Saccharomyces cerevisiae S288C: one gene and its partners. The protein of the gene in region 1 interacts with the protein of each later gene in a biochemical or structural test. Each region holds a gene or a part of one and is shown in the gene's direction. Other genes may lie near its edges. The genes, in order: HO, KAP120 and PUF4.

The links.
Region 2: the proteins of HO (region 1) and KAP120 form a complex in vitro, tested with the Saccharomyces cerevisiae proteins (one study listed by BioGRID).
Region 3: the proteins of HO (region 1) and PUF4 are reported together in a solved structure, tested with the Saccharomyces cerevisiae proteins (one study listed by BioGRID).

What each region holds. Positions count from the first base shown.
Region 1 is NC_001136.10:45,771-52,705, reverse strand, and holds HO (Hop), read left to right. Parts: upstream 1-4,674; coding exon 4,675-6,435; downstream 6,436-6,935. Other genes in the region: septin SHS1, read right to left, coding at 1-261; GTPase-activating protein GCS1, read left to right, coding at 533-1,591; Hsp70 family ATPase SSB1, read right to left, coding at 6,800-6,935. UniProt on the Saccharomyces cerevisiae protein: Initiation of mating type interconversion. This protein is a site-specific endonuclease that cleaves a site in the mat locus on chromosome III.
Region 2 is NC_001148.4:308,840-316,986, forward strand, and holds KAP120 (karyopherin KAP120), read left to right. Parts: upstream 1-4,548; coding exon 4,549-7,647; downstream 7,648-8,147. Other genes in the region: HHO1 (histone H1), read right to left, coding at 1-765; NAN1 (Nan1p), read left to right, coding at 1,371-4,061; SPC29 (Spc29p), read left to right, coding at 7,916-8,147. UniProt on the Saccharomyces cerevisiae protein: Functions in nuclear protein import as nuclear transport receptor. Serves as receptor for nuclear localization signals (NLS) in cargo substrates.
Region 3 is NC_001139.9:462,813-470,827, forward strand, and holds PUF4 (Puf4p), read left to right. Parts: upstream 1-3,328; coding exon 3,329-5,995; downstream 5,996-8,015. Other genes in the region: KAP122 (Kap122p), read left to right, coding at 1-2,099; BIL2 (Bil2p), read right to left, coding at 2,231-2,623; drug-responsive transcription factor PDR1, read right to left, coding at 6,280-8,015. UniProt on the Saccharomyces cerevisiae protein: Is not essential for haploid growth, but may affect diploid formation.

The sequences.
Region 1 (6,935 bases):
AGATGGAATCCCATTTTTCGAATTAAATGAAACAACTTTTGTCGGAGCAATAACTTTTACTTCTGGGTTAGAGCTAATACTAGCATTTGATTTACCGTATTGATACTTATGCGGAAAGATCTTAGTTTCCAATAGATTGTTAGCAAAGGCGGTCTTTCCTGTACCTGCTGGCCCACATAGTAACATTGTGTATGTGATCCCACGTTTATGTTCTTTCTTTCTACGAAATAAGTTAATTGGCGGTGTTGAAGCAGTGCTCATGATTAATAATATATTTTTCTAGCAATTATAAGCAGATCTTTGGGGCTCTTGTTTTATTATTTCACTTGCTGGGTACATTGATCTTGCTCGAAAGCTTGTTATATTCTTTTCGCAGTTTGGCACTTTAAAAATCGCGCGGTTACCCGCAAGCAACGCCAGTTTTTGTCAAGAACCAAATTGCACAACTATATCAAGAATGAAAGCAGAAATATGGACGTGATTCTGAGTTTAAATGGTGCCAATTGAGCAATTTTATCGCGGATTATAGAGCATGTCAGATTGGAAAGTGGACCCAGATACCCGCAGGCGTCTTTTGCAATTGCAAAAGATTGGTGCAAATAAGAAATGTATGGATTGTGGTGCGCCAAATCCACAATGGGCCACGCCTAAGTTTGGAGCTTTCATTTGCCTTGAATGTGCCGGTATCCATAGAGGGCTTGGTGTGCATATATCTTTTGTAAGATCTATCACTATGGATCAGTTTAAACCGGAGGAACTTCTTCGTATGGAAAAAGGTGGTAACGAACCTTTGACTGAATGGTTCAAGTCGCATAATATTGACCTGAGTTTACCACAAAAAGTGAAATACGATAACCCCGTCGCAGAGGATTATAAAGAAAAGTTAACATGTCTTTGCGAAGATAGAGTATTTGAAGAGCGTGAGCATTTGGATTTTGATGCTTCCAAGTTATCAGCAACCTCTCAAACCGCTGCATCCGCTACGCCTGGTGTTGCTCAAAGTCGAGAAGGGACACCACTGGAGAACCGTCGATCTGCAACACCAGCAAACTCTAGTAATGGTGCCAATTTTCAAAAGGAGAAGAACGAAGCTTATTTTGCTGAGCTGGGCAAGAAGAACCAATCTAGACCAGATCATTTGCCCCCTTCTCAAGGTGGTAAATATCAGGGCTTTGGAAGTACACCCGCAAAACCTCCACAAGAACGGTCTGCAGGGTCCAGCAATACTTTGAGCCTGGAAAATTTTCAAGCTGATCCTTTGGGAACATTGAGCAGAGGATGGGGCCTCTTCTCCAGCGCTGTAACCAAATCGTTCGAGGACGTAAACGAAACGGTTATTAAGCCTCACGTCCAGCAATGGCAATCCGGAGAGTTGTCAGAAGAAACGAAGAGAGCAGCTGCCCAGTTTGGCCAAAAGTTTCAAGAAACGAGTAGTTATGGATTCCAAGCATTTAGTAACTTCACTAAAAATTTCAATGGTAATGCAGAGGATAGCTCTACAGCAGGGAATACAACCCATACAGAATATCAAAAGATTGATAATAACGATAAGAAGAATGAACAGGACGAGGACAAATGGGACGATTTCTAATTTTAATATAGTTTTTCTCAACATTCAAGGAAAGTTCAATTCACATTGTAGCTATAATGGAGAAGTGGTTCTGTAAAGTTTACACGTAATACTTCTGTCTCTAAATTTGTATTTTTCATATCTTGACAAGAAGAGGTTTACTCTCTAGGATTATAAATAAGTCTACACCAGTATTCATAAATAGTTACCACAAGGCCATATCGTAAATTATTATACAACCTATTAATTACAAATAGAATTGCAATCCTTTCCCATCGGCGTTGTTGTACTGTTGCAAGGCTAATGACGGCTATTATTAAAAAATGTTTTAGACCTGGGACAATCGTTATCCTTTTCTTCATTATTTGGATGTTTGCGCCTTAAAATTATCCTGGGCACGAGTGAAACAAAGCTAAAACCTTTATTTAGCATGGCCATTGAATGTAACAATTATATATATCGCAAGCACAAAAAATCAAGGAGAGAGAACTACCACTTTGTTCATGTGTACAATGTTCATTATCTCCATAAGCAAAAAAAAAAAATAGAAAACATATGCTATAAGGTTGATATTCTCACGAGTAAGCGGCACTTGCTACTTATTGACATTGCAGATTTTTGGCTACAGAAATAGTATATTAGAGATTATAATTGCTAATCAAATCAAAATATAAAATTAGTAAACCAAACCATTTATACCCTTCCTTAGTAGTTATGGATTGTTTTTTAATGATATTTCTGCAAACCAAAGAAAGATTGTTATCCAGATAGAATTTAGTTTTGATATTCATTTTTTTGTTGAAGATTGAACGCCATATCTGGGCCTCATAATTCAAAAGACGGTGCCATTATCGGTAGCGTTTCGCATTGTACTGGATTTCAGAAATTTCACAGTTGATGAATCGAAAAGAATGGTCTCATTGCAACACGTAAGGTTAAGATGTCCCTTTTTACCATTATAGGCAATAAATGAATCATAAAACGACCGTATACTGGTGAAATAGTAGGGAGAACGAGTACCTGTAGTAAAAAGTATAAATCATAGTTAATCGGGCAATGTCCCTCGATCAAGGAGTATTGTGTCATGTTCGAGACAAACGCCAACATTTTTGTTTCTTTTGGACAAATGTTGTTTGCATTTATGATCCGTTATATTTTGATCTAATGTAGAGTTGCACGTAGTTCTTACTGGCAAAGAAATCGATGCATACCAAAAAAGAATAAAGGTGATATTTGATCTTTACCGTTTAGTTCCAACGTAAAATTGTGCCTTTGGACTTAAAATGGCGTGGCAGAACTAACTCTTTATTTTTCCAAATCAGAAAAATTAATATGTTTTGCCGCGTTAAAACCTACATCAAAAAAGGCGGATCAAGATGTATGAAAGAAAGTGCGTAGAATAACGAACATTCATAGCTGTTCTGGAGGCTTTACAAAAGGTAATCTTTGTTAGGTGCGATTTTATCCGAAAAGCAATTACTCTCTATGTTAGTCATACAAACTGACTTCTGTGAGAGAATTATTTTCATATCAACGTAAGATCACATGGTTCCTTTATCAAGTACTACTATCATTCCATTATATGACCTATTTACTTCTTGAATCTTAGAGCTCATAATTCAAGCAAGTTGCGGAGCTAAGAATTTCACATGTTGTTGAACTTAACAATCTTCATTATACCCAATCGCTGCGTGCTGGAATTATGTTAAAAGTTACATCCTTTTTTTCATTTTTCCCTACGCTCAGGGCACTGTACTGCCCGTGCCTGCGATGAGATACATCAATTTAAAAAAAAAACCAGCATGCTATAATGCTGGAGCAAAAATTTCAATCAGAAATAGAAAAGACCTCAACAGTAATTAACCCAAAGGGGTATCAAATAATCGATGTGCTTTTTCACTCTACGAATGATCTGTGAGAAACTGATTTGGGCCGAATCGCGTAAAAAGTTTGATTCGTGGCGGCTAATGTCTGAGGGGCTCCAACAGGCTCGTAGAGCCTCGTTTCTTGAGGGCACAAAATGTCCAGGTAATATTCCCAAGAAAGAACCGCAGAGTGCTTTGATAAATCGGTTACAGGTCTTAACGTAGGTTTTGTCTCGCTAATTGCTATTGAGTAAGTTCGATCCGTTTGGCGTCTTTTGGGGTGTAACGCCAAACTTATTACTTTTCCTATTTGAGGTTGGTATTGATTGTTGTCAAAGAATGAAAATATACACAAACGCCACAATATACGTACCAGGTTCACGAAAACTGATCGTATGGTTCATACCCTGACTTGGCAAACCTAATGTGACCGTCGCTGATTAGCGGATCACGAAAAGTGATCTCGATACAATTAGAGGATCCACGAAAATGATGTGAATGAATACATGAAAGATTCATGAGATCTGACAACATGGTAGACGTGTGTGTCTCATGGAAATTGATGCAGTTGAAGACATGTGCGTCACGAAAAAAGAAATCAATCCTACACAGGGCTTAAGGGCAAATGTATTCATGTGTGTCACGAAAAGTGATGTAACTAAATACACGATTACCATGGAAATTAACGTACCTTTTTTGTGCGTGTATTGAAATATTATGACATATTACAGAAAGGGTTCGCAAGTCCTGTTTCTATGCCTTTCTCTTAGTAATTCACGAAATAAACCTATGGTTTACGAAATGATCCACGAAAATCATGTTATTATTTACATCAACATATCGCGAAAATTCATGTCATGTCCACATTAACATCATTGCAGAGCAACAATTCATTTTCATAGAGAAATTTGCTACTATCACCCACTAGTACTACCATTGGTACCTACTACTTTGAATTGTACTACCGCTGGGCGTTATTAGGTGTGAAACCACGAAAAGTTCACCATAACTTCGAATAAAGTCGCGGAAAAAAGTAAACAGCTATTGCTACTCAAATGAGGTTTGCAGAAGCTTGTTGAAGCATGATGAAGCGTTCTAAACGCACTATTCATCATTAAATATTTAAAGCTCATAAAATTGTATTCAATTCCTATTCTAAATGGCTTTTATTTCTATTACAACTATTAGCTCTAAATCCATATCCTCATAAGCAGCAATCAATTCTATCTATACTTTAAAATGCTTTCTGAAAACACGACTATTCTGATGGCTAACGGTGAAATTAAAGACATCGCAAACGTCACGGCTAACTCTTACGTTATGTGCGCAGATGGCTCCGCTGCCCGCGTCATAAATGTCACACAGGGCTATCAGAAAATCTATAATATACAGCAAAAAACCAAACACAGAGCTTTTGAAGGTGAACCTGGTAGGTTAGATCCCAGGCGTAGAACAGTTTATCAGCGTCTTGCATTACAATGTACTGCAGGTCATAAATTGTCAGTCAGGGTCCCTACCAAACCACTGTTGGAAAAAAGTGGTAGAAATGCCACCAAATATAAAGTGAGATGGAGAAATCTGCAGCAATGTCAGACGCTTGATGGTAGGATAATAATAATTCCAAAAAACCATCATAAGACATTCCCAATGACAGTTGAAGGTGAGTTTGCCGCAAAACGCTTCATAGAAGAAATGGAGCGCTCTAAAGGAGAATATTTCAACTTTGACATTGAAGTTAGAGATTTGGATTATCTTGATGCTCAATTGAGAATTTCTAGCTGCATAAGATTTGGTCCAGTACTCGCAGGAAATGGTGTTTTATCTAAATTTCTCACTGGACGTAGTGACCTTGTAACTCCTGCTGTAAAAAGTATGGCTTGGATGCTTGGTCTGTGGTTAGGTGACAGTACAACAAAAGAGCCAGAAATCTCAGTAGATAGCTTGGATCCTAAGCTAATGGAGAGTTTAAGAGAAAATGCGAAAATCTGGGGTCTCTACCTTACGGTTTGTGACGATCACGTTCCGCTACGTGCCAAACATGTAAGGCTTCATTATGGAGATGGTCCAGATGAAAACAGGAAGACAAGGAATTTGAGGAAAAATAATCCATTCTGGAAAGCTGTCACAATTTTAAAGTTTAAAAGGGATCTTGATGGAGAGAAGCAAATCCCTGAATTTATGTACGGCGAGCATATAGAAGTTCGTGAAGCATTCTTAGCCGGCTTGATCGACTCAGATGGGTACGTTGTGAAAAAGGGCGAAGGCCCTGAATCTTATAAAATAGCAATTCAAACTGTTTATTCATCCATTATGGACGGAATTGTCCATATTTCAAGATCTCTTGGTATGTCAGCTACTGTGACGACCAGGTCAGCTAGGGAGGAAATCATTGAAGGAAGAAAAGTCCAATGTCAATTTACATACGACTGTAATGTTGCTGGGGGAACAACTTCACAGAATGTTTTGTCATATTGTCGAAGTGGTCACAAAACAAGAGAAGTTCCGCCAATTATAAAAAGGGAACCCGTATATTTCAGCTTCACGGATGATTTCCAGGGTGAGAGTACTGTATATGGGCTTACGATAGAAGGCCATAAAAATTTCTTGCTTGGCAACAAAATAGAAGTGAAATCATGTCGAGGCTGCTGTGTGGGAGAACAGCTTAAAATATCACAAAAAAAGAATCTAAAACACTGTGTTGCTTGTCCCAGAAAGGGAATCAAGTATTTTTATAAAGATTGGAGTGGTAAAAATCGAGTATGTGCTAGATGCTATGGAAGATACAAATTCAGCGGTCATCACTGTATAAATTGCAAGTATGTACCAGAAGCACGTGAAGTGAAAAAGGCAAAAGACAAAGGCGAAAAATTGGGCATTACGCCCGAAGGTTTGCCAGTTAAAGGACCAGAGTGTATAAAATGTGGCGGAATCTTACAGTTTGATGCTGTCCGCGGGCCTCATAAGAGTTGTGGTAACAACGCAGGTGCGCGCATCTGCTAAAATGTGTATATTAGTTTAAAAAGTTGTATGTAATAAAAGTAAAATTTAATATTTTGGATGAAAAAAACCATTTTTAGACTTTTTCTTAACTAGAATGCTGGAGTAGAAATACGCCATCTCAAGATACAAAAAGCGTTACCGGCACTGATTTGTTTCAACCAGTATATAGATTATTATTGGGTCTTGATCAACTTTCCTCAGACATATCAGTAACAGTTATCAAGCTAAATATTTACGCGAAAGAAAAACAAATATTTTAATTGTGATACTTGTGAATTTTATTTTATTAAGGATACAAAGTTAAGAGAAAACAAAATTTATATACAATATAAGTAATATTCATATATATGTGATGAATGCAGTCTTAACGAGAAGACATGGCCTTGGTGACAACTCTCTTCAAACCAACTTCAGCCTTTCTCAATTCATCAGCAGATGGGTCTTCGATTTGCAAAGCAGCCAAAGCATCGGACAAAGCAGCTTCAATCTTGGACTTGGAA
Region 2 (8,147 bases), on another chromosome or scaffold:
TTTGACCTTCTTCTTGTTTAGTTTAATAATGCCGGAGGGGCCCTTTGGTTGCACTAACTCGCCGTTTTCAACACATTTCTTGATAGCGCTATTGAACAGATAGTCAAAATTTGAGCTTGTTTTCAACTTGGAGGAGAAAGTGTCCTTGACATACTTCTTTAAAACGATACGGCTGGAGCCCTTACCGTCATTAAGTTGAGGCATGCTTTTAAGGATCATTTCCTTGTAGGTCAATGAAGAAGGCGAAGAGGCCTTCTTGGCGGTAACAGTAGGCGATTTTTTTTTCACTACTTTCTTTGGCGCTAGCTTCGTGGATGCGGCTTTCGCTTTTGATGCGGTTGCACTCACAGAAGTGGCGGCTTGCTTGGGTTTTGGACTGACCTCTTTTTCTTTCTTTACTTCTGGAGATTTCTTCTTGGCCAGTTTCACAGCACCAGCGGGTCCCTTTGGCTGTTCAAAATCGCCGGCCTCCACACCCTTCTTTATGGCATTGTTGAAGTACAAATCAAAGTTGCTTGCGGATCCGACGATCGGGTAGTTTTCCTTGATAAACTTCTTGAGTGCCGGACGACTGGATCCCTTACGTTCCTTCAAAGCCGTGAGCCCTTCAATGATCAACTCCCTGTAACTCTTGGAGGAAGCTTCCTCCTTTTTTGCCGTGGTTTTCTTGATAGCGGCCTTGGAAGTTGATTTCTCCTTGCCTTTGCTGGTTGCAGGCTTCTTGCCCTTACTTGTGGTCTTGGTAGTGGATTTCTTGGGTGCCATGTTGCTTTAGTTGTATTATAATTGCTTCCCTCGCTGCCAAGCATTATCAGGTGCCCATAAATAACAACTCCCCAAATCTATAGTTGCTCCTCCTCTTTAAATAAAGGCAGATAAACAAAAAACTTTGACCGCCCGCTTTTCCACACAAAAAACAAACAACAGCAGAAAACGCGACGCGAAAATGAAAAGCCAAAGAGAACAAACAAAAATCATCCATCAAACCTGTTATTGTGCAGAATAGCTTTTACCTAGACGCAAGTCCCTAGGAGGGGGCATTTTTGACACAGAATAGCATTTCATCAAAGCAAACAGCAACTTCTTGGAGATTTGTATTGCTTGGCATGTCAAAATCTAGCGGTCACATCAGTAGGGTAACAAAATAGCACGTCAGGGTTAAGGCGGCCTACTGCTTAGGGTACGTGGTAAGTGATGTAAAATGTGAGAAGGAGAAACTAGAAAAAAATTTTCCTTTCTTTTTCCTAGCGATGAGATGAGATGAAATTTTTCGAACAAATGATTTTTGGCACAGTTTACATATCAGTTATATTGGCTGTCGTCACAGGAACTACAAGTACAAACCAGAACCATTTTAGCTGATCACCAGAATGACGCAATCCCTAGGTATCGAACAGTATAAACTGTCAGTCGTATCTGGTGGGAAACCCGCTTTGAATAATCTCAGTTCAGTAACCGGCAATAAGAATATCGCCCGCCTATCACAAGACCAACGAAACTATATTATACCCTTTAACAATCAGATCAAGGTGTATTCTGTGGAAACTAGACAATGTGTTAAGACTCTAAAGTTTGCAAATAACTCCTTGTTATCCGGAATATTTCTGCAAGAAGAAGAGAATAATGAATCGATTGTAAAGATTCTGCTGGGTGATATAACCGTTCCGCAACAAGAAGACGCTCATCTGATTACCGTATTCACCAATAATGGTCATGTAATTGTTTTAAATTATAAGGGGAAGCTGGTCGAGTCCCCTAAGCATTTCAAAATCTCTTTGGCAGATGAAAAGCTTGCAAATGTTTTCCATAGCGAGGGCAACTATAGAATTTTGACAACGTTCAAGGACCCTAGTCAAAAGGCACATAACTCTTTGCAATCGTACAGGTTATATGCATTAACCTTTGACGATGCTAAAAAGCAATTTGAAGTGGCTCATCAGGCAGAATGGCACAACGTTATCTTGTCAAATATTTCTTCCAATGGTAAACTGCTAGCGCATATGTGCAAAGACGTCTCAACAAAAGATCACGAACACAAATCCATCTCAGTTGTTTCGCTTTTTGATGATTCTGTAAATTTAAGCTTTCCCCTCGGTTCCATCCTTTCTTCACAGACTCAATCCCTATCCTATAACACAAGGTACGTTTCTAGCATGGCCATAGACAATATGGGTCAACAACTGGCTGTTGGATTTGCCTCCGGAGTTATAAGTATCGTAAGCCTGGCCGATCTACAAATAAGACTGCTCAAATGGCATATAGACTCTGTGCTGTCACTCTCATTCTCTCACGATGGATCCTATTTGCTATCTGGTGGTTGGGAAAAAGTTATGAGTTTATGGCAATTGGAAACAAACTCTCAACAATTCCTGCCTCGTTTGAACGGTATTATAATCGACTGTCAGGTATTGGGACCTCAAGGGAACTACTACTCTTTAATCCTACAAATGACTGAAAACAATTCAAATTCTGACTACCAATTTTTACTTTTGAATGCTTCTGATTTGACCTCCAAATTGTCGATTAACGGGCCATTACCGGTGTTCAATAGCACCATAAAACACATTCAGCAACCAATCTCGGCCATGAATACCAAGAACTCCAACTCAATTACCTCTCTCAATCACTCTAAGAAGAAACAATCTAGAAAACTAATTAAATCGAGAAGACAAGATTTCACCACTAATGTAGAAATAAACCCTATTAACAAGAACTTGTATTTCCCACACATTTCTGCTGTTCAAATTTTTGACTTCTATAAAAATGAGCAAGTTAACTATCAGTATTTAACATCAGGTGTCAACAATTCTATGGGTAAAGTTAGATTTGAACTGAATTTACAAGACCCAATAATAACTGATTTGAAGTTCACCAAAGATGGGCAATGGATGATTACATACGAAATTGAGTATCCGCCAAATGACCTCTTATCTTCCAAGGACTTAACTCATATCTTGAAATTTTGGACCAAAAACGATAATGAGACAAATTGGAATTTGAAAACGAAAGTAATAAATCCACACGGGATAAGTGTCCCAATTACCAAGATATTGCCTTCACCAAGATCAGTTAATAATAGTCAAGGCTGTTTAACGGCTGACAACAACGGTGGACTGAAATTTTGGTCCTTCGACTCTCATGAGAGCAACTGGTGCTTGAAAAAAATTTCTTTACCAAACTTTAATCATTTCAGTAACTCCGTTTCTTTAGCTTGGTCTCAAGACGGGTCTCTAATATTCCATGGTTTCGATGACAAGTTGCAAATTTTAGATTTCGACACTTTTAAAAAGTTTGAATCATTGGAAAATACAAAGACGGTCAGTGAGTTCACGTTAGACTCTGAAATCCAAACCGTCAAGTTGATTAATGACACAAATTTAATAGTGGCCACCAGGACTACATTAAACGCCATCAACTTATTGCGGGGTCAAGTCATAAATAGTTTTGACTTATATCCGTTTGTTAACGGAGTGTATAAAAATGGTCACATGGATAGGCTTATTACTTGTGACGAAAGGACAGGCAACATTGCCCTGGTTATAAATCAACAACTAACTGATCTCGATGGCGTACCAACTATCAATTACAAATCCCGTATTATTATATTCGATTCTGACTTATCTACAAAATTGGGTAATTTTACGCATCATGAATACATATCTTGGATTGGTTGGAATTATGATACTGATTTCATATTTTTGGACATAGAATCAACACTAGGTGTTGTCGGAACCACTGTGAATACTCAACTATCTGATGAAGTTAATAACGAAGGAATATTGGATGGCCTGGTAAGTAACACCATCACAACTTCGGCATCCAATAGCGATATTTTTGCAGAACAATTGCATAAACTGTCGTCTAGGGGCAAAAAAAGTGACACTAGAGATAAAAATACCAATGATAACGACGAAGATGAAGAAGATATCGCTTTGGAATTTATAAATGGCGAAAAGAAAGATAAGCTAGTCAATATGAATAGTTTTACGAGCATGTTTGACAACATTCAAAACGTGCAAATGGATACATTTTTTGATCGTGTGATGAAAGTATTAACATAGCTTTAGGGTTCTTCCATTGGATATCCAAAATAGATATAAAGGTATATATATATATATATATATATATATGTTTATAAAGCAAACCGAAAGCAAAAATATCTGTATAACTTAGTTACAAGGGAAGGGAAGAGAATGCATTGGTTAATAGGAACAGACACTTCGTAAAAAGCTTCACAATCATTAATGTTAATAGAACTATCATAATATACAAAAAATCTCTTCATACGATTTTTGTTTGATGAGCATCCTCAGTCAAGATGAATAAAATAATCTCTCCAAATAAGCCGCCTCTTTTTTTTTGAATTACACTTCTATAGCGTACATTTCCATGTAAGAAGATTGAAGTTTCAAACAATTGGGTAGCTTAATATTTGTCAAACTTCTTGGTAGGTGTTGTGTTTAAGAAAAAGGAGGCACCATAAACTATTAACTTTTTAGCTTGCCTCAACTGTCAACCGAATCAAATTTTAAAAGGCGTTAAACAAAAATGGCCTCGTCTCTTAACGAGTTAAACTTGGTTCAAGTACTTGAACAAGCAAGTAACCCACAACATATTAGGTCAGATGTTCAAAAATTAGCCGAACAACAACTAAGACAATGGGAGACTCAAGCGGGATTTCATTACTTATTACAGTCAATCTACCTTAATTTATCTAATTCTTTACAAATTAGATGGTTGGCGGTAATTCAATTTAAGAACGGCGTGGATAAATACTGGAGATCCACTAGAATTAACGCTATACCTAAAGATGAAAAAGCCTCGATAAGAGGTCGTCTTTTTGAAATGATCGATGAACAGAATAATCAACTTTGTATTCAGAATGCCCAAGCTTCCGCAAGGATTGCAAGGCTAGATTTTCCCGTAGAGTGGCCAACCTTATTTGAGGATCTAGAAAACCTATTGAACGATGAGATCATCAGAAAAGATTCAGTTAAGATTTACAATATATTGATGCATATAAATCAAATCGTTAAAGTATTAGGTACTGCGAGAATAGGAAGGTGCCGACCCGCTATGCAAAGTAAAGTTCCTTTGATATTACCACTAATTGTCAGGATTTATTTACAATCATTTGAAGAATGGACGACATCCTCCAATCTCAACTACGAGGATCTTTCCAGTTTACAAGTTTCTTACCTAGCTTTGAAAGTGCTCAGAAGGATAATTTGTGAAGGATACGACCGCCCTCAAACCGATCAGTCTGTTTGCGATTTTATTAAACTATCCGTTTCACACTTTGAGATGTTAATTTCAAACCATGAAAACTTCAAAAAGTTTGATATTTACGAAAAGTTTATCAAATGCCTAGGAAAGTTATATTTCAATTTAGTCACTGGCTCTCCGGCTAATTTCATATTACTGCCATGCTCTACGCAAATTCTAATCACTTATACTAGGCTAATTTTCGATAAGGCCCCTAAAGTATATAGAGAGAATTCTGATGTCACGGGGGACTTTTGGGAACAGACTGCTATTAGAGGGCTTTTAATTTTGAAAAGGGTCATTAATTTCATTCACAAAAAGGGGGCAATTACGTTAAAAGCAAGAAGTGATAAACTAACCATAGATGCTTCTATCAACAAAATCAACACAGAATTTCTGAATGAGAATTTGATAACAAGGTTGGTTGACACTTTAATGGAATGGTACTTGAGGTTAAGACCAACTGAATTAGAAAATTGGTTTATGGATCCAGAAGAATGGATAAACGAACAAATGGCCACGAGTTACGAATATCAAATCAGACCATGTGCAGAGAACGTTTTTCAAGACTTAATGAATACTTTCTCTGAGCTGTTGGTTCCCTACCTGTTAAAGAAAATTGAAAATGATGCTTCAAAGCTATCAAACTCATTAGACGATTTTTTAAGGAAAGACGCAATTTATGCAAGTTTCCAATTAAGTGCATCCGCTGTTAGTGAAATGGTAGATTTTGACAGGTTACTAATTCAGGTTTTTTTACCAGAAGCTACAAATACAAACATATCAGGCGACGAATTAAGGATTATCAGAAGAAGAGTTGCTTTAATTATAAACGAATGGTCTACTGTGAAGTGTTCGGAAGAATCTAAAAGTTTATGTTACAAGTTATTTACAAACTTCCTGACAGATGAAGACGACAAAGTTGTTTTGTTAACCACAGTCCAGACTGTCAGAACCATGGTTGATGACTGGAACTTCAACAAGGATACTTTTCAGCCATTTTTAACTGAAAATGTTCATTTATTGTTGAGGAAAATTTTACCATCTGTGTCGTTAACCGAGACAAGGCTATATGTTTTAAACACCTTGAGCGATATCATAATTCAAACAAAACCTTTAATTAGCAGGGATCTATTAGTCGAAATTTTGCAAATCATACCAAACCTTTGGGAAATAGCAACAAATAATGCTAGTGAGGCTATTTTGGCAAACGCATTGTTAAGGTTATTGAGAAATTTGGTATCATCTTTGGGATCACAGTCACATTTAACGTGGGATATCGCCATACCTGTGGTTGCATTAGCCTGTGATCCCTCTTCTATGCAATATCAGTTGTTAAGCGAAGACGGGTATGAACTATGGGGCATGCTTCTTCAAAATTTTTCATCCCACGATCAAGAGTTTGACGATAAGTTCGTTGAATTGGTGCCATTTCTAAAGTATGGTATTGAGACACACACAGAGATTCTCCCAACTTTACTTGAAATTATCAAAAGTTATGCTCTGATTCTGAATCCTGTGGATTTTTTCTCTAACAACACATTTCAAGATATTTTTAAACAAATGTCTAAATATCTTTTAAAGTTAAGGGAAGATTCATTTCAGTTGGTTTTAGAAATCTGGGAAATTTTGATATTATCCAATGAGTCGGATTACGAAAATCTGTTATTGCAAAAATTCTATGAAACCGGAGTATTATCAGCATTATTCGATGCCATTTTCCTGGAAGAAGCTCCTTCATCTTATTTATGCTCGCAAATCATTCAAATCATCGCTAGAATATCCTACGTGAATCCAGACGCCTTAATGACTTTTTTAGCTACATATCATGACAATCTACCAACTTCTAACGAAAATGCACGCATGCCGGAATCAATAAGAAAAATTGTGTCTAAGGATCAGACGTATGATTCCGTTGTAAACAAGCTTTTAACCGGATGGATAGTATGTTTTAGAGATATCTTTGATCCTAAATTCAAAAAAGTTCACATATTAGGTATTTCAAGTTTACTAAGGACTGGTTTAGTTCCTATTTTGACTGAGTTTTCATCCATCGCATCTTTATGGATCGAAATGCTCGAAGAAATTAATGAAACTAATCGTGGGGATTGCGAAAAATACCACTTGAATGATATTGTTACAGAGCAATCAATTGCATTCCATCCTTTAACTGCCGAACAATTAAGATATCATCAATTATGCAAAAACAATGATCCAGTGCATAACATTAGTTTAAAAGATTTTATTTCCCAATCAATGGAATATCTAGAATCACATTTAGGAGTAGAAAGGTACCAAGAATTTTTGAAGACTATTAACCCTAGTTTACTAGAGAACTTACAAATGTTTTTATCCATCCAGCCTCAAGAGGCTCGTCCATGATAGTAATAAGTACTAAATAAAAGTAAAAAATTGTATATAGTTCGACTAACAACATTACAGTGGTATCTTTTGATCGCGCATTCTATACTTTTATTTTGCTACTAATTAGATGTCGCAGTTTTTTTTGTTTGCTTTTTGCGTAATACAAAAACAAACGCGAAAAGTGTTCATGTAATATAATGAAGTAAACCAAGTCTCACGGAATAAAATCACCTTCTTCCAATTTTGTAAAAGTTTAACCAAAGATCCAAAGTGGCTTGTAGGAATAATGGATTATAGTAACTTTGGAAACAGTGCCAGTAAAAAGTTTCAAGACGATACTCTAAACAGAGTAAGAAAAGAGCATGAAGAAGCCTTAAAAAAGTTGCGAGAAGAGAACTTCAGTTCAAACACGTCAGAATTGGGAAACAAGAAGCACTATAGAGCACAGGAAAGGATGAGTTCGCCATTACATAGATTGTCTCCCACAGGTAAATCAGACGATAGGAAAGTGAAGAGCC
Region 3 (8,015 bases), on another chromosome or scaffold:
AATTATTTACTAACATTCAAGCAGCTGATAATGGTCAAGTTCAAGATGAATATATTCAGGAATACATCAAAGTCCTTTTGCAAATGACCAATTTCCCTTTAACTCCTGTCTTACAAGAGTTCTTTTCTGTTAGAATGGTTGATTTTTGGTTGGATTTATCGGATGCTTACACTAATTTGGCTAGCGAAACTTTGAGGCCAAATTCTATTGAGCTGTCTACACAAATTTTTCAGCAGTTGATCAATATTTATTTACCCAAAATTTCTTTGAGTGTGAAACAAAGAATAATTGAAGAAGAGGGTGAGAGCACTTCTGTGAACGAATTTGAAGATTTTAGAAACGCTGTCAGTGACCTTGCTCAATCTCTCTGGTCTATTTTGGGAAACGATAATTTAACAAATGTGCTAATTGATGGTATGGGCCAAATGCCTGCTGCGAGTGATGAGACTCTCATCATCAAGGATACTGATGTTTTGTTTCGAATTGAAACGATGTGTTTTGTTTTGAATACTATATTGGTTGATATGACTCTATCAGAAAGCCCATGGATTAAAAATATCGTTGATGCCAACAAATTCTTCAACCAAAATGTCATATCCGTCTTCCAAACTGGTTTCCAAACTAGTGCCAGTACAAAAGTCAGTCAAATTTTGAAACTTGACTTCGTAAGAACAAGTACAACTTTAATCGGCACTTTGGCTGGTTATTTTAAACAGGAACCTTTTCAATTAAACCCATACGTGGAAGCTTTATTTCAAGGTTTGCACACTTGCACCAATTTTACTAGTAAAAACGAACAAGAAAAAATTTCGAACGATAAACTTGAAGTTATGGTTATCAAGACTGTTTCAACATTATGTGAGACATGCCGTGAGGAGTTGACTCCATATTTGATGCATTTTATAAGCTTTTTAAACACAGTCATTATGCCAGACTCCAATGTTTCACATTTCACTAGAACTAAATTGGTTAGATCTATAGGTTATGTCGTTCAATGTCAAGTCTCCAACGGTCCAGAGGAGCAAGCTAAATATATTTTACAATTGACGAACCTATTGAGCGGCTCAATAGAGCATTGTTTGGCTTCATCGGTACAGTTACAAGAACAACAAGATTATATTAATTGTCTATTATACTGTATATCTGAGCTAGCAACAAGTTTGATCCAACCTACTGAAATCATCGAAAATGATGCATTACTACAAAGGTTATCTGAGTTTCAAAGTTTCTGGTCCAGCGATCCCTTACAAATCCGATCGAAAATTATGTGCACCATTGATAAGGTCTTGGATAATTCAATATATTGTAAAAACTCCGCCTTTGTGGAGATCGGTTGTTTGATTGTTGGTAAAGGATTAAATCTGCCCGACGGGGAACCGTACTTCCTCAAGTACAATATGTCTGAAGTTATGAATTTTGTTTTGCGGCATGTCCCCAACTGTGAGCTTGCTACTTGCTTGCCTTATTTTGTTTATTTATTAGAAAAGCTTATTTCAGAGTTCAGGAAGGAACTAACACCACAAGAATTTGATTTCATGTTTGAAAAGATCCTTCTAGTCTATTATGATGCATATATTATCAATGATCCGGACCTTTTACAAATGACAATAGGTTTTGTTAATAACGTTTTGGACGTGAAGCCAGGCTTAGCTATTGGCAGTAAACATTGGACATCATTTATTTTACCTCAATTTTTAAAATTAATACCTTCAAGAGAAAAGTTCACAATTGTTGCGGTGGCAAAATTTTGGACTAAGTTGATCAATAATAAGAAATACAACCAAGAAGAACTCACAACTGTTAGGCAACAAGTTTCCTCTATAGGAGGAGACCTTGTGTACCAAATTATGTATGGCTTATTCCACACACAAAGGTCCGATCTGAATAGTTACACAGATCTGCTAAGAGCTTTGGTAGCCAAGTTTCCAATTGAAGCAAGAGAGTGGCTCGTTGCTGTTTTGCCCCAAATATGTAACAATCCTGCAGGTCATGAAAAATTTATTAATAAATTACTTATTACGAGAGGAAGCAGAGCAGCTGGAAATGTTATTTTGCAGTGGTGGTTGGATTGTACCACACTTCCAAATTACCAAGGATGATTTGTTAAGAATTTCTCCGCTGAGGGTGAAGGCTATTCTTTGTTACATTTTATTTAGTAATGCGTTGATCCTTTTTGATAGATTTTTTTTTTGTGCTTTAAAGATAGTAGCAGTATATATGTGTGTAAAAGCTAATCATCAGAAGTGCAGCATTCATTGCTAGTATTTAGTGATAAAAATTTTAGAATTTCCATTTCTAATTGTAATTGCTTTTCATTCCAATACATGTTTGAGCTTCTGGGGGGTAAAAATACATTTCCAGACAGGGCGTCAGGTTGAAAGCAGTTACTGAAACATAGAGAGTCGACGTCAGGAGGAGGCTTCAAATGGTTTTCTGAAAGTGATTCGGTCTTATTTTTCCATTTTCTAAAATGGTGAATCCTTTCTCTGGAAATGTGTGATCCCTTTGCCTTTTGTGAAAACTTTTTTAACGAGCTTTTTAGGTTATTAGTTGTCTCAAGAAGGTTTATGGGCCCGCTGGTCTCGATATCTGCGTAATTTAATGGACGTATCGTGTCTTCCATGGAGTGAATTGTGATTTGTGAATTATATCTGTCCAATACCGTTGCCTTGTTGGGAGCTCAGATAGAAAAGACATCTTAATTCCAGACAGTCTATTCTCTGTCTATTTCTCTTTGTGACTGCAAATTTTAATTTGTGACGCCTTTTCTTATTACTCATGTATTTGTCACTCTTGACGATTGTTTTTTTTCTATATTTTTTTTGTTCTGGGGTCCTCCAGAGAATAAAAAATAATGATCAATATAGTAGATAGTATAGTTATATTCTTATTCGTTGCACCTTGTTTAACAAATCACTCAGACTCAAAGAGAATATCGGTTGGTTATCTCTCTCCGAAGGTGAACAGCAAACAGTACCTCACGTCTTTTTTTTGAATAGTTTTTTTTTTTGTTGAAACAGAAAAAAAACTTTCTTCCGTATATTACATTGTACATTATTTTTATTGTATTTTAGTTTCCAACGTTAGGATTTGAGCCGTCATTAATATTATTCGTTTTTGTACACTATTCCAGACGATTTATTTTTAGTACACTTAAAATTCCTGTTGATATTGTCCACTAGTTCTCTTTTCATATTTTATTTTCGCTTATTCTTTAGGTTCTTTTAAGAGTCTCTGTTCATTTTCCGTTCTTACTGTTTCTTTGTCCTCGATATCTTTTAAGAAAGAGAGAACTAAGCGCTGTAACATTTTTAAGTGGACCTACGTTATGTCTACAAAAGGTTTGAAAGAAGAAATCGATGATGTACCATCAGTAGACCCTGTCGTTTCAGAAACAGTCAATTCTGCTTTAGAGCAGTTGCAACTAGATGATCCAGAGGAAAACGCCACCTCTAATGCATTTGCGAATAAAGTTTCTCAAGATTCTCAATTCGCTAATGGCCCTCCGTCGCAAATGTTTCCACATCCACAAATGATGGGTGGAATGGGCTTCATGCCCTACTCTCAAATGATGCAGGTTCCTCATAATCCTTGTCCATTTTTTCCGCCCCCTGATTTTAATGATCCAACAGCACCATTGAGTAGCTCGCCCTTGAATGCAGGCGGTCCACCAATGTTATTCAAGAATGACTCACTTCCATTTCAAATGCTGTCTTCGGGTGCTGCGGTAGCAACTCAAGGTGGACAAAATCTAAACCCATTGATAAATGACAATTCAATGAAGGTATTGCCAATCGCATCGGCTGATCCGTTATGGACTCATTCAAACGTACCAGGATCAGCATCTGTAGCCATTGAAGAAACCACCGCTACTCTACAAGAAAGCCTACCATCTAAGGGCAGGGAGTCTAATAATAAGGCTAGTTCGTTCAGAAGACAAACTTTTCATGCTTTATCACCAACTGACCTTATCAATGCGGCCAACAATGTAACCTTGTCAAAGGACTTCCAATCTGACATGCAGAATTTTTCTAAGGCTAAGAAACCGTCTGTAGGAGCTAACAATACTGCAAAAACCAGAACTCAATCCATATCTTTTGATAATACTCCCTCCTCAACGTCATTTATACCCCCAACCAATAGTGTTTCTGAGAAATTATCCGATTTCAAAATAGAAACCTCGAAGGAGGATTTGATTAATAAAACTGCACCAGCTAAAAAAGAGAGTCCTACAACTTATGGTGCAGCATATCCATATGGGGGACCTTTACTTCAACCAAATCCTATTATGCCAGGCCACCCACATAATATATCCTCCCCTATCTATGGTATTAGATCACCTTTTCCTAATTCTTATGAAATGGGCGCGCAATTTCAACCTTTCTCTCCGATTTTAAATCCTACGAGTCATTCACTAAATGCAAATTCTCCAATTCCTCTAACCCAATCGCCAATTCATCTTGCACCAGTTTTAAACCCTAGTTCAAATTCTGTTGCCTTTTCAGATATGAAGAATGATGGTGGTAAGCCCACCACCGATAACGACAAGGCGGGTCCAAATGTTAGGATGGATTTAATAAATCCTAATCTTGGGCCATCAATGCAACCTTTCCACATATTACCTCCCCAGCAAAACACCCCCCCTCCTCCCTGGCTTTATAGCACTCCACCTCCCTTCAACGCAATGGTTCCGCCTCATTTGTTGGCTCAAAATCATATGCCGTTAATGAATAGCGCCAATAATAAACATCATGGTCGTAATAACAATAGCATGTCAAGTCATAATGACAATGACAACATTGGTAATTCTAATTACAACAATAAAGACACAGGTCGTTCTAACGTTGGTAAAATGAAAAATATGAAAAACAGTTATCATGGCTACTATAATAACAATAATAATAATAATAATAATAACAATAATAATAATAACAGTAATGCTACCAACAGCAACAGCGCGGAAAAACAACGTAAAATTGAGGAGTCGTCGAGATTTGCGGACGCAGTTTTAGACCAATATATCGGAAGTATTCACTCATTGTGTAAAGACCAACATGGTTGTCGTTTTCTGCAAAAGCAGTTGGATATTCTCGGCAGTAAGGCGGCGGACGCAATTTTTGAAGAAACTAAGGATTATACGGTTGAATTGATGACTGATTCATTCGGTAATTATTTGATCCAGAAGCTATTGGAAGAGGTTACCACAGAACAAAGAATCGTACTCACAAAAATATCTTCCCCTCATTTTGTCGAAATTTCCTTAAACCCTCATGGTACTAGGGCATTACAAAAACTCATTGAATGCATCAAAACAGATGAAGAAGCACAGATTGTTGTTGATTCTTTACGCCCTTATACTGTCCAGTTGAGTAAGGATTTAAATGGTAATCATGTTATTCAAAAATGTTTGCAAAGGTTGAAGCCTGAAAACTTCCAGTTTATCTTTGACGCAATCTCTGATAGCTGTATTGATATTGCTACTCATAGACACGGGTGTTGCGTTTTGCAACGTTGTCTAGATCATGGGACTACAGAACAATGTGACAATCTGTGTGATAAGTTGCTAGCCCTTGTTGATAAATTAACTTTGGATCCATTTGGCAACTATGTGGTGCAATATATAATTACCAAAGAGGCTGAGAAGAACAAATATGATTATACGCATAAAATTGTCCACCTGTTGAAACCAAGAGCCATCGAACTTTCTATCCATAAATTTGGATCAAATGTGATTGAAAAAATCTTGAAGACAGCTATTGTTTCGGAGCCAATGATTCTGGAAATTTTAAATAATGGTGGCGAGACGGGTATTCAATCATTGTTGAATGATAGCTACGGAAATTACGTTTTACAGACAGCATTAGACATTTCTCATAAGCAAAATGACTATCTCTATAAAAGACTATCAGAGATTGTGGCGCCTTTACTGGTGGGCCCCATAAGAAATACACCTCATGGTAAAAGAATCATCGGAATGTTACATTTAGATTCATAGTTGATACATATATCCTCAGTTTAGCTTTTTTTACGTTAGCCTCATATAATATCTTTTGTACAATACTAAAATACATCATTTTTTTTTTCGTTGAGGATCAAATGAATATCCAAAGCAAAAAAAATAGGAATTTTCACTTTATGGTATACTGGTAAATAGTGTTGAAGAAATAAGAGAAGGAGATGCCCTAGAAAACAGAATGTTCTTATTTAAATAAGTAAACTCAAAAGAAAAAAAAAAGGAAGGAAGTTTTTGAGAACTTTTATCTATACAAACGTATACGTTTAACTATCTGGATAAACGTCGCTCCACAGGATACTGTAGAGGTCCTCAAGATCACCGTTATTAACAAATTCATCTAGTGTCCCCAAATTAAAACTAGTTGCAGAAAAATTGTTACTGTTGTTGTTGTTAATATTGTTAATATTGTTTTTATTGTTGTTGTTGTTGTTGTTGTTGTTATTGATTTCATTTGTGTTCATAAATGGTACTTGTACTGAAGTGGGTATTTGCTGCTGAGCATTGATTGGTTTATTAGATTGGACTTGCGTATTATTTTGCCCATTTGTTGGTTGCGCGTAATCGGGATTGATCATATCAGACACGGATAATGACCTAAATGAAGGCAATTGTGCAAACTCCGGTAGTGAGTTGTTTCTCACTGGGGAAGGTGCTGAGCGACCATTGAATGGCAATTGAGGCGATTCAATGCCATTTAGTAAGCATGAAGTGCCCGTCTTAAGACTTGGGAGATCCGGATTCAAATTTTTTCCCGAATTATGCTTCATCTGCTTATTATCTTCATTTGACATTAGTGGTTCCTGAAACTTTCTATTTTTCAACATTTGTGAGACCGTTAAATGGAATCCTGACTTCTGAACAGGTTCTAATAAAAATCGATAAGCGCAAGAGTTTGTATCCAAGACAAGTTCTATTATACCTTTTAAATCTGGCGCATTCTCATCAATATATTTGGAGATAACATCGAGGTTGGTGCTAGAGGACTCTCCGTATGCCAAAAGCATGATACGAGTGACGATTGTCAGGAAAGAAAAAGCTCTTGTATAGTCTTTAAAGCTTTGGCTGTTGAAGACATGCTCATTGGTCTCATTTTCGGAAAAAATTTTTATATCCAAAAATCTTTTGAAGACTCTAATCATATTCACAACGTCATTTACTTTAATGAATTCGGCCACTGAGAATGCTTGTGATACCAAAATAATGCAACTGATAGAATAATGGGCGAACGAACGGTATACGGAATAATCGTTGTCAAAGTCTAATAAGATTTTGTTCATATCGGTCCATGATTTGTAAATCTTGTGAAGGTATATTTTCAAGTTTTCAATTAGTATTGAGGGCCTTCTGTGCACGCATAATCTGGCGACAATATTATCAGATTCGTTAACCATTCTGCAGAAATGGTGCTCGTAAAATAGAACAAATTTTGAAGCCATAATCTTATCCTCTCTTGAAACTTTGAGTTCAGTACTATCTTTAGAGAATGCAATATCGAACAATTTTCCAGTTTGCTCTTTGATAGCATCATATTTCATTTCTGTTTCGTTAAAAATCTCGAGTACCTCGAAGAGTAGTTTCTCTCTAACAACAGATGGTTTTGATGTATTCCTAATTGACGTGAATTTTTCATTGAATAAAACAGATGATGAGAAATGGCTGACTATTTGTAAGACAGCTAATTCGCCATAGTATTTTAAGTCGGATATGCACATGTTGTCAAAAGCTTCGCTCCTGCGAACTAAGTGGACGTTCTCGATAAAATCTCTATTATCCAAGAACCCAACATCTCGAAAATTCTTAGGTAATAAACAATTGATTTTGGAGTCATCAATGTTCGAAGGATAGCCAAGTTTAGAGGCTAAAGTTTTCTCGAAATAGAAAGCTTTCCACCAGAGATTTCTTCTTCTTTCAGCAAAGTTTTCATCAAGACCCACGTAAAATTCCCACCTTGATAAACCAACTCTTGAAACAAAATGAACTGCTACGTTCAAGACTTTTT